Linked DNA regions of Coturnix japonica. The protein of the gene in region 1 interacts with the protein of each later gene in a biochemical or structural test. Links are inferred from orthologs where the notes say so. Each region holds a gene or a part of one and is shown in the gene's direction. Other genes may lie near its edges.

Region 1 (4,878 bases):
GTATTATTTCTAATAATCCAATTCCACAGCAAGCTAATGAAGGGGATCAGTCTCTTTAAAGCTTTCCGGAACTGAAAGAGACTTTGTAGCAAGAACTTCATGCTATCATTTCACTAAGTATCTTGGCATACCAAGATCTCCAATTCAGAGGCTTTCCCCAATTCAGAAATGCCATCAGTTCAGTCAGCAGATGCTTATGTCTAGTAGACGTGTTCAGTGGGTTTGACCTCACTCTGCAGCCAAACAACCATCCTGTCTCTTCCCTGTAGGAAGGTGGAGAAAACAGAAGGCAAGACTTTGGAGCTGAGACAGTGACAGTTTAGTGTACAGAAAATATTGTACATGTATAGAACATGAAAAGAGGGATTAATTCATTCACTACCTTACATCAGCAGGCTACTTACTGGGAGGCAAAAAGCTTAACAGTTGTTTTGGAAGACAAACACCACAATCAAAGGTGTCACCCCATTCCTCCTCCTTTCTGCATGACTTAATGCTGAGCATGATGCCAAATGGCACAGAATATCCCTTCAGTCTGTCTGGGTCAGCTGTCTCTGGTCTGTTCTTCCCCAACATCTTGTTCACATCCACTCTACTCACCTGGGGGCAGGAGAAGAGGGATGGAGAGACAGTCTTGGTAGTTCGCACACTGTTCAATGACAGCCAAATCCCTGGTGTGATTTGTTTCAGACACAAATGCAAACAACAGCACTGCACAGGCTGCCACGAGGAAAGTTAGCTCTGTCCCAGGCAGACTCAGTATAACCTTATCCCCTTATTCCATATCATTTGCGCCATTCTTAGGTTCCATGTTATCTAATGCATCTAAATACCCGCTGGACTTTTGTCCCATTCATCAAGGCCATCACTCAGGACAGGGGGAGCAGAATGTTGGATCACTGGGCACCAACACCAGCTTGAGGTGGGTCATTGTATTCACATACTTCCATGTGAAACTCACTCCCTTTTAGTTCAGGTGGTTTCTGCTGTATTACTTCCTGTATTGTACAAGTCAAATTGTGCAACGTATAGATCTCTTTGAGGTACATAACAAATTTGCTCATCCTTCCACACTGACCACCAATTACACTTTGATCTTTGAGCAAAGACAATTCTGCAAGTGGGTCATCCCTTTCCAAAAAGAAACTGTCTTTCTCAACAACTTCCCTACATGCACTGTAGGGACTTTGTGTCCTTTCATTGATTGCAATGCATGTTTCACATCTGCAGGTGGCCTGTGGGATGTTCTCAATCATCAGGTCTACCCCTCAATCACAACCACTTGGCACATTGCATCTCTCCCAATTACTGTCATTATTTCAGATTCCTCACACTTCCACAAGCCATCCAGCTGAGGAGGGGAATGAGAGAATAGATAGGTGGGCATCTAACTGCTGGCCAAGATTAACCCATCACAACCCTATGTTTGGCACCCTACATGGAGTGCACGGGTTTGAATTGGGAACCTCTCGATCTGCAATCAAACACTAACTAGTCATCGTCAGCACATGACAATCCAAACACATTCCTTTAGGACACTACTTATAGCTGAAGAAGGTTCTTGCACAGAGCAAAGATCACCTTCTTGACTGAGTTTTTTTGAGTATAATTATCAGTAGAACAGAATTCAAAGCTGATGAGGAATACATGTGATCTGCACTTCTGCAGGCAAGGACAAGGCAGCTTATCAAGGCATCGAGCATATTCAGTGAAACTTGGTTAAATAAATCATCTTTTAAATCAACCTTTGCCCAATCAAAGTCCAGTCCTACCTATAGGTACAGCTACAGGAGGGACAGCAAGAGAGGATTCCTGCAAAGGCTGCTTCACACAGATATACAGGTAAGTTATTCCTTTTTTTTGCTATATAAAACTGTGTTTTAGGAGTCTGATAATCTTGCATATAAAGTTTTCATGAAGTGAAAAGTTGTTTGCAGCCCACTATGGTCTTCCCTCCATTTCTACATATGAAGAGATAATCTGTCCTGTAAAAGCTTACTGTTCCTTCAGCTTTGTTTACTGCTGGTTTTCTGTAAACATCAGGAGTTAACCAAATTTCCCAGTGTTTGTCGAGAAAAGCTGCTCCGAGTTCTAGTTGAGATCAGTACAATGTCTAAACAATAGTGCAGGACATCCCTATGTGAAGTTATTCTTGATGCCACTATACTTAGACTCCAAAAACCACTAAGTACCTCACCAACGGGAATAAGAAACTCAGAACCCACAGCCTGCCTATCCATACATGCTGAAATGTTCCATCTTCTCCAGCTTCAGTGACATCCCTGCCAACTCCCCACTCCTCACCCATACTTTTCTATAAGCTGACTAACTAACCTTAACAACACAGTTTTAGCTTCCATAACAAATACTCTATATTTTCATGAGTAGCCAGATGTACTTCAGCAGTAGGCTGCTATCAAGAACGTGGAGAGATTTGACCACTGGCTACTTCTAAAAACAAGTAAAAGAAAAGGTCAGTTTTCACACACATAAGTTACGTGAGTGATATACAGAAACAGAAAAAAGAAAGAACTGTAAAGAGTTCATGCAGGCAGATGAAATTTTTTAGTATTTATTAGGCTGAGACTAATGGCCAACCTCTGCAACAGATCTTTGGGCTTTTCACAAACTTCTAACAGGAGCGAGAAAAAAAAACAATCAATCCAGTAAGACACACATCAAGTGTGGTAATTACCTGGATGGAGAAAGTTGCCATCATTTATCTTATTTCTTATGTCATAGTGGATCTTTGGCAGGAGTTCCTAAGACAACAAGATAGCGAACTTTGGAATTGCTCCTTGATCATAACTACTGCTTACTTTCTGAACATAATGTCTCTCTTACTGATAATGAGCTACACGAGACAATTTCATTGTATCATAAAAATATAGAATATTTTAGCTTGGAAGGAACTTCTGGAGCTCATCTGGTCCAATAGCTCATGCTAAACCAAGCCAACTTAGACCAAGTTTATCAGGGTCTCATCCAGGTAAGCACCTCCAAGGATGGAGATTCCACAGCCACTCTAGGTTCTTGTTCAAGTATCTGAAAGCACCAGAGATTAAAAAGCTGACCTTACCTCTCTCTAATTAGACTTCCCCTCACTGCGACCAGTATCTGTTGCCTCTCATCAGTATTAACATCCAAGAATAATAAGGATCTGTGTTTTCTACACCATCCGATTAGGCACTTGAAAATGCAAATAAGAACTTTCATTTACTTTCTTTTCCCAAGACTGAACAAACTCAGCTCTCTCAAACCCTCTTCAAACAAGTTGCGCTCCAAAACCTAACCCACCCCAGTGGATTAGTTTCAGTATGTCAGTGACACAGAGAGCTCAAAACAGCAGTCACGCATAGCCTTACAAGTGCCAAACAGCAGGGAACAATCCCTTCATTGACTTGCTAGATACATTCAGATATAGCCCACTATCCAGTTGATCTTCACTGCAAAGCTACACCAACTGATGTGAAGTTTTGCAGGACAACACGTAAGTGCACAAACTGACCAGCCAGCCTGTGCTGTCGTTATGCATGGTTTAGATATAGATTTTTTTCCACTTTTCTCTGTTAAATGTTTCGATATTTCTGACAGCTCCTCTCTCCAGCCTGTTGAGGTCTCTCTAAATAGCATCCCTAACCACCATCCTATTGACTGCTCCCCTCTGTTTAATATTATCCATCACGTTTGTTGAGGATATATTCTGCTGCACTGACCATGTCATAAATAAAAATGTTAAACAGTATCTATCAGTACCAGTACCAACCCTAAACATTGTCAATAAAAAGCAGCCAACAGCTGGATTAAGTGCCACCAATAAAAACCCTCTGAACCTAATGGCTCAGCCAATCTTCTGCCCACCTACAGAATCTGCTTATTCAGTCCATATGTCAACAAGTCATCCACACTTACTGTACAAGAGACCCTCTCAAAGGTATTGCAATAGTTAAAGAGTACATCGTTCATCGTTCTATGCCTGTCACAGAGCCAGTCCATTCATCTTGGAGTTAGCAGGTAAAAAGGATTCATTTAATCTCCCTTTGCACAGCTGGATTTCCCAGGAACCCAAACCTTAAGGATTCTGAAGCAAACTGTCTCAGCTTGCTTTTTTTTTTTTTTTTTAAACTCACAATTAGTTTTTCCATCCTGTTTCGTAGAGATGACTTCTGTTCTCCAGCCACGAGAGTGCAAAGTGACCAAGAAAAGCAAGAAGAGCTATGGATTTTTCCTGCGTGTGGAGAAAGACACAGCAGGACATCTCATCCGGAATGTGGAAAAGAACAGCCCTGCTGAAAAGGCTGGCTTGAAGGATGGAGACAGAGTCCTCAGGGTTAATGGTGTGTTTGTAGACAAGGAGGAACATGCAAAGGTACAAATCTGTTTAGTCTGGAGGCTACATCACCTCCCATGATCCAGACCCGCTGTCACTATTGGAAGCTTTCTCTTCCATTTCTATGGTGGAAAAGTCCGAGAGCTGAGTCAACAGCTCTGGATACCTCTCTGCATCATTTATTATCCATCATGGGTAGGAAATGTTTTTGAGGTGCCTCCATAGTGCATCAGCAGAAGGATGTGACAACAAAACCAATAGAGAGTTTAATCCTTCCTGGAGAAAGCTTTTAGGTCAATCACTCTGCTTGAGCAATTCACCTTTGATTTCACCTTGTCCATTACAGGTGGTGGAGATTGTGAAGAACAGTGGAAATTCTGTTGTATTTCTTGTTCTGGATGAAGCATCTTATAAAAAGGCAGAAAAGGAGGGAGCGAATCTGGAAGAGTTGGGTCAAAAGGTGTCAAAAGGAAAGAAGGAGAAAAAGGAGGAGAAGCAGTCCACACTGCCCATGGCTAATGGAGCAATCACTGCCGTTCCACAACCAC
Region 2 (4,085 bases), about 68 Mb from region 1:
GGCTCTGACACTGAAAGCTGTCCTTCAAGCCACTTGTGGGATCATTTCCTACTCTGCTTCAATCCAAAGGGAATGAGCTGAGACCTCCTGTTTCAGGTGTCTGGGGTGAATATCTCCAAGGCTAAATAGGGTTTGAGAGCACACATTTGAGCAACTTTGCTGGCAGACTTTGGACTGGGACAGTAAGCAAAGCAACTGGAAGAGGACAACTATGCAAGGCCCTCAGTGCAACGAGAGCAGGCAAGGTCTGAAGTTACTAGTCTAGTTCCTTTATAAGCTGGTTTTCCATGTCCTCCTTCAGGTCTATGCTTTAAAAAGCTTATAGCACTGCTTACAAGCTGTATGTACCTCCTCCCTGGTGCAGGGATCTGTGAGCTCTGGTGACACTCACCTACACAGCCACTGCCTGCTGCAACTCCAGCCCCACATGGGGAGCAATAGGGCTATTACACCTCTTTGGTAGTCCATGTATACAGCTAAAGTGAAGAGCACTAGCAATAAATGACAGTGAAGTGCAGGTGGCCAACAGAGGGGAGATTACAAACAGGATTGTCCAAAGCAATTTGGGATGTAAACGACTGTAAGTGTAGGTGGTGAGGTTTGCTGGGAGACTCTCCAGCTACTGAACTGTAGTACATAGCAGGATTCCTGACCTACTGCCAGCTATCACAGCACAGCTGAGGCTGGCAGGGCCCTCTGGGTCCCTCTGCTCCAGCCCCTGCCCCAGCAGGGACACCCAGAGCAGGGTGCCTAGGGCTGCATTCACGCAGATCTGGAAGATCCCCAAGGAGGAGATCCCACATCACTGGGCAGCCTGTGCCAGTGCTCTGTCACTGCACAGCACAGAGGTATTTCCTGATGTTTATGAAATGAAACACAGCACCTAGAGATACATCTGGTCCTCCCGTGTGTGTTGACAGAACAGAAGAATAAACAGTTACATCTGCCGTGTGTATAGAACCCTATTTCACAACTGCAGTAAACTAGGAGCACTCATCTGTGCCATCTGTGTTTGGATGTGGTGCTCAGGGACATGATTTAGTGGAGGGTTGTTAGAGTTAGGGTAGTATGGTCAGGTTGTGTTTGGACTTGATGATCTTAAGGTCTCTTCCAACCTGAGCAATTCTATGATTCTATGATCCTGTGATCACTGTTGCAGTAAGGCGTTCACTGCAGCTTCTTGTTATGGCCTAAAATAGCAACGTATTTACTCCCTATCAGCGGTCAAAAAAAAAAAAAGCAGTCCCTTGGCTCCACAAACTCATCCTTGAATTGCTTGTGCTGAATATGGTTACTCATTAACCCCTAGAAGCATGCTTATGGTTTCACTCATTTCTGCACGAGAAGCCTGGGAAATAATGCTTCGTAATTCCACAGACTCCAATTACAGTGATCCATGTGAATGACATACGGGAACCTATCCTAAGAAATCAAGCAATGCCAGTTACTGAGAGTGCAGATATTTAAGTGCGGCCCAAACACAGGAATCCAGACAGTTTCCAGATGCTACATTAGCTGCAGGGCCCTTTTTGTTGGGCCAAAGCGCATGCGACACTGCCGTGCGATTGCTAGCAGCCCTCCTTGAGCTGAGAACATTTCTCTCTTAAGAAAACGTAAGATCTACTAATCAGGACCTACTTCCTTTTCTTACTACTGTTTGCTCTTGTGTGGCTTCTGCGTAAACAGCATTCGGGTTTTGCTTCAAGTTTTTGTGCTTCTGATTTCCAGCAACAAAACTGAAAGTGGTAAGCAACAGTGGGCAGAAGAAGGAGACCGAGCACACCAGAAGGCACACCAGCTGAGGTAAGACAAGGCTTGCCTGCTTTTTCTGACATAGATAGAATAGCTGCAGTGAAGAAAATACAATCTGCTTATATATTGCTTGCGGTAAGCTTTGCATATGATAGAAGCTGTGATCGTTAACTAAATTTCTCTATGACAAAGTTGGGCTTGAGAATTTTCTTTGGCAGAAAGGGTGGATTTATGTAACTTGCAGTGCTTCCAGATGGAAGATGACAGTCAAGTAGTGGGTCTGATTAAGTGAGTGCTGGCTTTTAACGAGATGACAAAAATATGTGGTCAATGGCAAACTTAAAATTAAAGAGGCTAGGAGTTAGAGTCTGAATTTATTTATCTGTAATATTGTGCATGCAGCGAGGTTAATAAAGCACTGCATGTTTTGGTGGATGTAATTCACTGTTAATTCCAAATACTGCATTCTGCTACATTTATTCTTGGTAACGCTACTCCTTAAAACACAACACGAAGACAGCAGAAGGAAAGCTAATGGGAACTTTGAGACATGTCAAAACTTTTGGTTTTCTCGAGATACAGAGGCAGATGCAAGCAATCCCAAACATAGCAGCAATGCCATGACTGCCTTAATATTATGAGTATGGGATTGTTGTGGCAGAAGCCTTCTTCTGACAGAGGACTGTTGTGATAGATGCACGGAGCACCTCCTTTTCCTGACATACAAACGGATCAATATATTTAATCTCTTAGGGCAAAAAAGACATGTATTTTGAATGAACATTCTGATACCTTTATTTATCACTGCATGTGCAGAACACCTCACCGAAAATATGTTCTCTGTGTTATAGAGATCTCAGGGTTTCAAAGTAGCGGATGTGAGAAACTTCTCAGTCTGGAAATGGAGAGTTTCCCTTTTACACTTTTAGCAGCAGCCTCTTCCAGCTCACCTCCCCCAGTGAGAGGAGATGACACAGAAAACAGCCCTCTTCTATCTGCCTGACCATAGACTCCCAACAGCCCTGATGAGCACCCCATGTGGGAACACATCAGTAGTGGTACATTCACACTATCCACCTCCTTCAGGAACCTGTAAAGCTTGACTGCATGTCTATCCTGTCTATGCTGAATTTACCCATACTTTTGAGTCCTTGCTCCGTCACCTTGCTGATTTCACTCACCCCTCTCTGCCTCTTCCCTAACTCTATAATGTCTTTTTTTGGGGGGTGCAGAGAGCAGAACTGCATGGCACATTCACTGGGGGAATGCAGGAAGGTTTTATACAAGGTGATTTTATACCAGCTGACCCAGACTTCTTGGTGATGTGACTCATTTTCTTGAAATTCTTGTTGCTTCCGCTGCAGCTTATGCAGAAATGACTTTGGCAAACAGTCGATGATGGGTCTATCACTGATGCCAAATGCCCTTTCCTCACAGTAACAGTTTCAAGTTCTGTATCATGTAAGCATGGTTTAGGTTATTTGCTCCAGCATTTATCACCTTCTACTAAAATGCTCATCTGCCAGCTTTCCAGCATGGCATCAATGAATGTCAGTGGGTGTAATTTTTTCCTCATGGAAGAGCTCTGTGACACTCCTTTGCTTCAAACACACGTCCTTGTCAGACACCATTTTGTCAGATTGTCCCTCTGATGCCATCTGCCAACAAAATGTAACAGGATGTTGTTGGGTAGGTTCCACATCTACTGCCATACCATTGCCTTCTGACTCTAATGTCATGGGCCAAAACAGTAAAACAGGAGGCATTACTTTTGGAGCAGCTCTCATATATATGGAAATCGGTCTTGGGGGTCAGTAGGCTCCCAGGCATCAGGACTGCTGACTCACAGCCCCCAGGCTTCTCTCCCACGCTGTTCTTGTAGATGAAGAGCTGCCCTAGTGATGCAGTGGTCCCCTGGAATGGCACATGATTATAATGGTGGGTTATGTGCCTTGGACAGCAGTCCAAGTCTGAGAGCCTTTGGGGTACTCATACAAATGTCATCTGGTCCTGATTACTTATTGGCCTCTCATCTGTCTATTCAGTTTGATATTTCCTACACATGTATGTCCAGTGCATCCAGCTCCTCCAACCTTACAGAAGTTTTGTTGAATCCTCTGTGATTTGGTTGTTGCTGTTGTGTGGTTTTGGTTTTGTGTGGTTTCTTTTGATTGTTTGTTTGTTGTTTTTACTGTTTTCCTATTCCCTCTAAAATGATGTCGATTTCTTGGTCCTGGGACTGCTCCTCTCTCCCACAACACTGACACTGTGAGTCCTATCATGATTGCTGGTACAGTGCTCCCTCCCTCCCTCCTGCCAGAACTGGGGCCTGT
Region 3 (3,979 bases), about 25 Mb from region 1:
ATACAACTATTCTCTACATTAAATCTTTCAGATTGGTCTTGCCCTTTCACAGACAAAAGCTGCTGCAGAACAAGTTAGCGACTATCTGTCCTACAGCAATGCAGAACTGAGCTAGGGTTCTCAGTTGCCTCCAGTTCAAGTGTGGAAAAGAATTACCTGAATGCTTAGTGAAGGAAAAAATTATCCAGACATGATGTGATGGATACCATAGATGCAGAAGGTCTGAGATAATTTTTTATATATTCAAAAATGTTAATAACTGATTATTTCATTGATGCTTTTTTCCAGCCATCGAAGTGTACTTATATGGTGTGCAACAGATCTTTATAAAACACAGTAGAGTTTTATTAGATTTGCTAACCTAACAGATTTCACAAACAAAACTTCTTAGCTTCATTCCTGATGACTGCATTTCACCATCTTAATTGATCTTTTACATTATTTACAGAGTACTTAGGTTTTGTTTGTATTTGTTCTTCTGGTATGTAGTCAAACATGCAGGCAAATGTTATCCTGCATTTTTAGTGATGCTCACAAAGTTCTTCAGAAGAGCCAGATACGGGCTTCAAATGCTGTGAACTACAAGACAAAACAAGACCATCTTAACCTATAATTGATTCCAGTTCATGTCAGTTCTGACTGAATTCTGTTTGCACAGAAATCTCTGAAATAGTTGTCTAAAGTAAGACTTTAAACAGAAATTGTTTCATAATCCTCCCCAGGAAAAACAATATTGTTCAAATTGATTGAAACATATGAAGGAAAGAAAAAGGGAAAGGAACAAAAGAAACTAAAAAACAAAAAACTCAGAAAAAGACAAAGGCAGTTTATACTGAAATTAAACCTACATTTTGAATTCTTGCTCTGTTTAGTTTTACTACCTTTTTTATTAAGAACAAGCTAAGAGAATACTAGGTGATTCAAGGAGAACTCAATTAAAACCATGTCATGGAATTCCCTCATATCTGCTGCAGATGTGATTAAATAATTAGATCAAGAAAGACCACAGTGTTTTCACTGAGGACATCATTAACTCATTTACTAATTATTACCTTTGACTATCAGGATCACCACACCCTCAGTGGCCACATGCAAAGGCAATTCAGAATAAACAATAATGAAAACGATCACCACTGCCTCCTTTCAATGGCATATATAAAGCTCAGCCAATTATTTCCTTTCCCTCATTTGTTATCTAGTGATAGAGTAAATAAAACTATGTGAAGACTATGATACTGATATTTTAGTTAGAAACAGCAAGGTTACAAGTAGTTTCCATGATATGATTCACATTGAATTATTAGCACCCATGCAAACAGGTAAACTTTGCACTTTTAAAGACAAAGTAGCTTGTAGAAAACCAGGCTATTTTATACTGAAGTGTCCCTAGTAGTAAGAGTGTGGTTATCTGGTATTTTCTATCTGATACTAATATTATCTTAAAGGTTGTATTTTCTAAACAAAGCAAAAGTAAGGTAATAACATTTTCTGTTTGAACAGTTAAATGAGAGTATCTTTGTTCAATGGAAGATATATATGCCTTTTGGTCTAAAAGCATTTACTGTTTGTTCTTGGATTTGGTTTCATTAGGCTTTAGTGAGGTTGGTTGAGTTACAGGTGAGTTCTAGGTTGGATTTATCTGCTGGGTTTGTCCAAATGAAAGTCTTCATAGCTACTGTAGGTGAAAAGAGAAGTAGTTATTTTTTTCTTATGTTATTTATGTTATGTGTCTTGGCTATTTTCATCCTCATTTGGACATCTCTGGCTAAGATTTATTCATTGTTACAATTCTGGTTTTCAGGTTTTTACTAGTTTTAAAAAACATGTATTATAAAATTATTTTAGGGAACAGTGTTTTGCTATGTAGAACCAAGTTTTTCTAGGCTTTGTGTTTAGGTCGGATGCTTTAGAAACAAGACAAGGAAGCAAACTAGAATTTGGAAATAGCATTCAAAGATTTTATTTGGCAGTGGTCTTGGAATCTATCAGTACTGGTTATATACTATTGTGCATCAGTTTGGTGATGTAGGAGTCTTAATAGGTATGAGAAGATAAACTGTAAGTAGTTATATAGACAGATATAAAAATACAGCACAAAAAATGCTGAGACATTGAGGGATCATCTTAAAGAAGTATACCTGACTTACCACTGCTTTGCTACATGCCTGTGCATTTTGTTTGTCTGAAGTACTTCTCATACCTCTTTAGAAGAGTTTCAAAGAGGTGATAGTTAACTTAATGAGCTCTGTGAAATAAAGAAACTGATTTGGGAAATCTGTAAACTTTTCTGTGAATGAGAGGCATAGGGAGCATTATAAAGCACCATAACTTTGGTTCATCAGAACTATTATTTAAGCTAGTGATTGCTTTTACTGGGGAGAGAAATTGTATGAGCTCTTGTCCTGTACAATGTATTGTTACACAATAACTGGTTAGAGAAGCAGTTTTGGTTTATGTTGTTTTCAGATAGCTTTTACTCTTTGCTAATGCATCCAACTTATTTCCTTTTAAAATTTGCTTCTCCAATGTAAATGTAGTAGCATTACTTATTTTTACAATTAACTTATCTGAATTCAGCTAAATATAACAAATCTAATAAATTACTGTTAATGTTTTTTTTTTAAAGAAAAACTCTTGGCTTGCAGTTTTCCAACTCTTGCCTATTTAAAGCTCCAGGTTATTATATCTAAATTATTTTCTTGATTTATTATTTGAATTCTGCTGTAGACGTTGGCTTTCCTGTGTATTTAAACCTTTACCTTTAACATACAAATAGAGTTGTATGTACTGTACTGGACTCAAGTAATTAACAGATAACATAATTTGGGAGAAAAAAGTCTTTTTTGTATATAAATGGATTAATTAAATAGACCATGTTCCTGAATGTTGCTAAGTTCAAAAGTTGAATTGTTGGTATGTCTCTGATTAATTTATTTATTGGAAACTCTTTGATCCTACATGTAATAGCACAAAAGTGACTGGTGCCTACGAAATTGTAGTGGTAAAGTGTGGAATTCAAAGCGAGAGTCTTACCAGTTTGCTAATTACAGTGGAGGAGAACAGAAGTTTACCTTTAACTTAAGCTGTCTTCCTGAGTCCTAGTCAAAGAAGTCAAGCATGCCTGGTGCAGGCAGTGGTGACATTCAAGAGAAGCAGCTTATGACTGATACTGAAAAGGAGAAAAACCTGCTACCTGGTAGAAGAAACCATGCTGGAAACCTGACTCTGCCTGAGAAGAAAGTCCAGGAGGCTATCTGTGTGCTGCTGGTGGAGCTGTGTGAGAGGTTCACATTCTTTGGCATTGTCTGCAATATGATCCTCTTCTGCACTGTCAGACTTGGCTATCGCAACTACCAGGCTGCCATTGTCAATATGTGCTTTGTGGGCACCTCCATGCTGACACCAGTGCTGGCTGGCTGGCTCGCTGAGTGCCTTGTGGGGCGGATCAAGCTAGTGTGCATCTGCATGTTTCTACACTTCCTAGGTAGGTGACACTCAGATGTCCTTTAATGCTATAGTACTTCTGTTATAGAAATGCATTGTTGAACACTGTTTGAAATTCAGTAACTTTCTCCAAGCTCATGGCCAGTTTTGCTCATAACAAATCATTTTTCCTCTACAAAACATTTTGTAGTTTTCTGCCTATGTATTTTTGTATGTATTTTGTAATACGTAGAGCAAGACCAAGAAGCATTTTCATGTGCATCTTATGGATTAGCAGCTATGTGGTCTTCTCTAAACTGGCTTAGCTCTTAAGAATGCAGTTGCTCAGCTATTTCTTAGACTTGGTCCCTTTAACATGCATTTGTTGTTGCTAGTGTTTAGGGCACATGTGATGTTTTAGACAGAGTTTGATAAAGAGAGTGGAGATAACTTCCCAGCTGTTGGTAGCATGTGAAGACATGACTGTTGTAGCTGAATAACTGGGAAAGATGCACTTAAGAACACACCAGTATAGACAAACATTGCAATGAGTAGG
Region 4 (4,025 bases), on another chromosome or scaffold:
CATTTTGTTCTCCTCCCTCATACTCCTCTACGCATTCCCAGTTGGTTTGCATGCAGAGTAGCTGGAAATCCAGAACAGGAGCTGCATTTTGCAAACAAACATAGAAGGTAAGCGGGATGCCAGCACTGACATCATCGTGTTATCGATGCCATTTAAAACAGGTTGCAATCTGCAGCAGCTGGAGGAGGGATGCAAGCAAACGGCACACCATGTACCAAACAATAAGGGTAAATTATGGACAGCTTCGGAGCTGAATGAATAACTCTCCGCAAGATCTGCTTCAGCTTGCTCCAACGGTAAGTGACATCAGTTTAATTGGCCTCATTTAGCACCAGCCTGGTGGATCTGTGTTATTTAATGCCTTCATCTGCAACTCAGTGCTTGCAGCACAGAGGGGTGCTCCAAGCACAGACAGCAGTGCTGGGCTCACATACTTTCACCGTGGGAATTTCTTACATCGGATTCCTGCACGTGTGAACAAGATGGGCCTAGTAATGGCTCACAGATCAGTTCTGAGAGCTGTGAGGATGGAGTGGAGTTTCTCAGCCTGCTGTGCTCTGTTCTACTTCAGCTTTCTTCACCTTCACCGCCTCTGATCAGCTCACGGCATTCGGGCCTCACAGGGATGGCTTCACGGGACAGAGTGCAGCAGCAGAGCTGTGTGCTGTGCTTTCCCTTGGGCTCATTAAATGATATTTCAGCCACACCTTGATGAAGTCAGCCCTTAGCAATGCACCCTTTGACGTGGTTATTTGTTTTTGTTTTTTTAATAACAAATCGTTTTAAAGAGGTTGAAAACGTGGTACTTTGGATTTCAGTAAAAGCAAGAAGACAACTCCTCCTGCACGAGAAACCCGGCAAACCCAAACAGTGCCGCATGTGTTCTGAGCAGCTGTGCTCACAGTACCTTTCCTCCGAGCATCCACCGAGGCAAAGCGGGGAGGGGTTCGTTACCCGTATTCGAGGAGAGCACCGCGATCAGCCACTCATCTCCAACCGAAGAATCCAAAGGTGTGCGTGGATATACACACGATCCTTCATTCACGTCGCTGCCTGAAGGAAAAGCGCAGGGCGGGGGTGGGTCAGGAAGGGCTTAAGGAAAGGCTCCGCACCGCAGTGGGCTGCCCAGGGCAGCGAGCGCAGCCGAGCGACGGTTCCCCGAGACCAGCTCGGAGCCGCCCCGGAGCCGGGAGGAGCCGCGCCGCCCCCCGCCCCGCCCCGCCGCTCCCGGCCCGGCTCGGGCAGCCGGTGCCCAGCGCGGGGCACGGAGCCGAGCGTTGCCGCGCCCTGCGGGGCTGCTCGCCGGCAGGATGCCGCTCGCACAGCTGGCCGAGCCCTGGCCCAACATGGAGCTGGTGCAGCTGGATACGGAGGTGAGCGGGGTGAGACGGGCGGCGACCCCCAGGGGTCTCGCGGAACAAAGGAGAGCCCGGCCGGCCTGCTCCTTTTCTTCCTTCCCTCCCTTCCTTCCCTCCCTCCCTCCGCTCTTGCCCCGCTGCTCCAACTGAGCCCCGCGGGGTTGGGAAGCGCGGCGGATCGCTGGGAGCTGCCGGCTGCGCTGCTTTCCTTCGGCTCCTCGGTACGAGCTGTGAACGCGAGCACGGCTCTGCTCTGGGAGCTTCCCCCGCCCGCCTCAGCGCTGCCCAGCCGCCGTCCTGCGTCTGTCCGCTGGATGTTGTGCGCTTCGCTCTTAACGAGCCCCCCCAGCCCAGGTGTGCGCTGCCCGCACCGCGCTTCGCACCGCAGCCGCCGCAGCACGTCGGCACCGCTCGCAACCTTTTCCTCGCTGTGGTGCAGCCGAGGTGTGAGCACAAACGGCTCCTCAGCCCGGCTGCAGCTCGCGGCTTTCGGGATGGGTTCGTGCGGGTTTTGTCCCGCTTCGCTCGCTCCCTGCCGCTCTCCCGTTTTAGACCTTCTGCCTCTTACCCCTCCTATCGTGCCGAGGGATGTCACAGTGGTTAACTGGTCAGTTTCGTTTATTCCTACTTAAAATTATCTCTTAAGGAAGCTCTGCTGGGAACGGAGGCCAGGTTGCCCAGCTGTCACAGCCAGATGTGAGGGGTGGGCGGCTGCGCCTCGTGCTGTGCACTCACCTCTGCTTGGGGTGTGGGGATGTGCCTGTGTCCTTCGGGGACTGGGTCGTGGTCCTGAGGCCATAACGTGCTCAGGGAAAGCTGGGTGTGATGGGGGGATGCGATTTGTCTGGAAAACAAACTTGGAGTGGGAGGAAACTAATGCTGGTGCCTGGGGCGATAGATGCCATGGGCAGGATTGGTGTGTCACTTAATCCTGGGGATTCGGGTGCTGGGTGGCAGCTGTGCCAACACCACAAACGTCTCCCCTGGCTGGAAGCAGCCACGGGGGCACCACATTCATCAGCCAAAGTCCCTCAGGAAGATTGTGGCAGCAGCGAGGGCTCCTCTCCCCATTGCATTAGTTGTGGATGTGTACTCTGTAAACTGCAGCTGCAGGCTGCCTTTCCCAGCTCTCCTTGGCAGGGCTGGAGGTTGGCGGCAGGGCTGGGAGCAGAGTGCTGGTGCTGGAAGGCACTTGACACCTCAGCACTGTGCCAGGTGGGACACCAGCAGCTCTGCTCCCTCGGGCTTCAGGTGAGCGATGTGCTCGGTAGCATGGGCACTCTGCACCTCTGGGCGCTGCTGCAGGCACCTGGAGCCGACAATCTGTGAATGGCAGAGAAGGACTTGGTGGAGTTTTGCACGCAGTGAGGTTCTGTTTGCCAGGGGCAGGAAGGTTCACCTTCTGTAGGGCAAGGTGGCACCAAAGAGAGAAACCAAAGAGACTTTTCTGGAATGCGTTACGTAAATCGCCTGGGATCGCTGCCATCGAGGTGTAAAGCCAGCTTCCTCCAACCTTTGCTTTCTGAGTCACGGAGCAGAGGTGCTGGCACTGTGCTGCGGAGGCACCCAACTCATTGTGTCAGGGGGTTTTTCCACTGCTCCCCAGGAGCAGCTGCTGAGCTGGTCACAGCCAGCACCCACTGTCTCAGAGCTGTGCTGAGGAAGCAGTGGGAGGGTGAGCTGTCCTGTGGACTGAGCTCGCTTCATCATGCTTCCTTCTGTTTACAAGGGTGGACAGTGATAGGACAAGGAGGAATGGTTTTAAACTAAGACGGGAGATTTAGGTTGGATCTTAGGAGGAAGTTTTTCCCCAAGAGGGTGGTGACACACTGGAACATGTTGCCCAAGGAGGCTGTGGATGCCCCATCTCTTCAGGCATTCAAGGCCAGGCTGGATGTGGCTCTGGGCAGCCTGGGCTGCTGGTTGGTGACCCTGCACACAGCAGGGGGTTGGAGCTGGATGAGCATTGTGGTCCTTTTCTACCCAGGCCATTCTATGATTTCATTCTATGATTTCATTTATTCCAGTTCTTTTATTTTTATTCCCTGCTCTATTTTTTTCTGCCTATTTGGAATGTTGCTTATGTGGTAGAAAAACCTGTGTGGGGCAGAGCACTAGAGATGGAGCAGAGCTGAATGACTGCATTGCCATAGTGATGGGAGCTGCCATCATGGCTGTGCATGCCTTTAAACTCTTGTTGTCATACACAAACACAGAGCAACACAGATGACATGAGATTACGACAAACCCAACCACTCCAAGCTAATTATTTTGGCCTGTGTGTGTGCATCTGCTCATCCCTTGTTGAGCAGAAGCTATTCAGGAGTAACTGTCTTTCTCTGTGTGCATTTCAGCTTAAAAGTGAAGACAGTGATGATCAAAGGGGAGGAAGCAGAGAGGTTTCTGTCCATGATACACTTTGAGCACTGTCTCCTCTTGCGTGGGGAACTCTGGAGGGAAGAGCTGGAGATGGTTGTTTTTGCAGAGTTCTGTCCTTTCCCCTGTGCCATGGGGTGATGTGTGTTGGCAGCACTGAGAGAAGCGCACAGCCCGCATGGTGCTGCCCGTCCTGACATTTGTCCTCCTTACGTATCAGAGCAGCGGTTCCCTGTTCTGTAAATTGCTCCTCCACATGCTTCAGATTAGGTGGAATTAAAGGGATTTAAA

Evidence for each region.
Region 2: the proteins of PDZK1 (region 1) and CYSLTR2 interact in a test that uses a peptide from one of them, tested with the Homo sapiens proteins (2 studies listed by IntAct, with this or other methods). The link is inferred for Coturnix japonica from reciprocal best matches to the Homo sapiens genes PDZK1 and CYSLTR2.
Region 3: the proteins of PDZK1 (region 1) and SLC15A5 interact in a test that uses a peptide from one of them, tested with the Homo sapiens proteins (2 studies listed by IntAct, with this or other methods). The link is inferred for Coturnix japonica from reciprocal best matches to the Homo sapiens genes PDZK1 and SLC15A5.
Region 4: the proteins of PDZK1 (region 1) and RPS6KA1 interact in a test that uses a peptide from one of them, tested with the Homo sapiens proteins (2 studies listed by BioGRID and IntAct). The link is inferred for Coturnix japonica from reciprocal best matches to the Homo sapiens genes PDZK1 and RPS6KA1.

The regions. Positions count from the first base shown.
Region 1 is NC_029516.1:83,006,521-83,011,398, reverse strand, and holds the start of PDZK1 (Na(+)/H(+) exchange regulatory cofactor NHE-RF3), read left to right. Parts: upstream 1-1,662; 5' UTR 1,663-1,842; intron 1,843-4,157; 5' UTR 4,158-4,159; coding exon 4,160-4,369; intron 4,370-4,676; coding exon 4,677-4,878. UniProt on the Homo sapiens protein: A scaffold protein that connects plasma membrane proteins and regulatory components, regulating their surface expression in epithelial cells apical domains.
Region 2 is NC_029516.1:151,145,348-151,149,432, forward strand, and holds the start of CYSLTR2 (cysteinyl leukotriene receptor 2), read left to right. Parts: upstream 1-1,285; 5' UTR 1,286-1,613; intron 1,614-1,728; 5' UTR 1,729-1,803; intron 1,804-4,085. UniProt on the Homo sapiens protein: Receptor for cysteinyl leukotrienes. The response is mediated via a G-protein that activates a phosphatidylinositol-calcium second messenger system.
Region 3 is NC_029516.1:57,904,811-57,908,789, reverse strand, and holds the start of SLC15A5 (solute carrier family 15 member 5), read left to right. Parts: upstream 1-1,179; 5' UTR 1,180-1,319; intron 1,320-2,967; exon of another isoform or gene 2,968-3,096; 5' UTR 3,097-3,117; coding exon 3,118-3,484; intron 3,485-3,979. UniProt on the Homo sapiens protein: Proton oligopeptide cotransporter.
Region 4 is NC_029538.1:170,207-174,231, reverse strand, and holds the start of RPS6KA1 (ribosomal protein S6 kinase alpha-1), read left to right. Parts: upstream 1-1,225; 5' UTR 1,226-1,310; coding exon 1,311-1,373; intron 1,374-4,025. UniProt on the Homo sapiens protein: Serine/threonine-protein kinase that acts downstream of ERK (MAPK1/ERK2 and MAPK3/ERK1) signaling and mediates mitogenic and stress-induced activation of the transcription factors CREB1, ETV1/ER81 and NR4A1/NUR77, regulates translation through RPS6 and EIF4B phosphorylation, and mediates cellular proliferation, survival, and differentiation by modulating mTOR signaling and repressing pro-apoptotic function of BAD and DAPK1.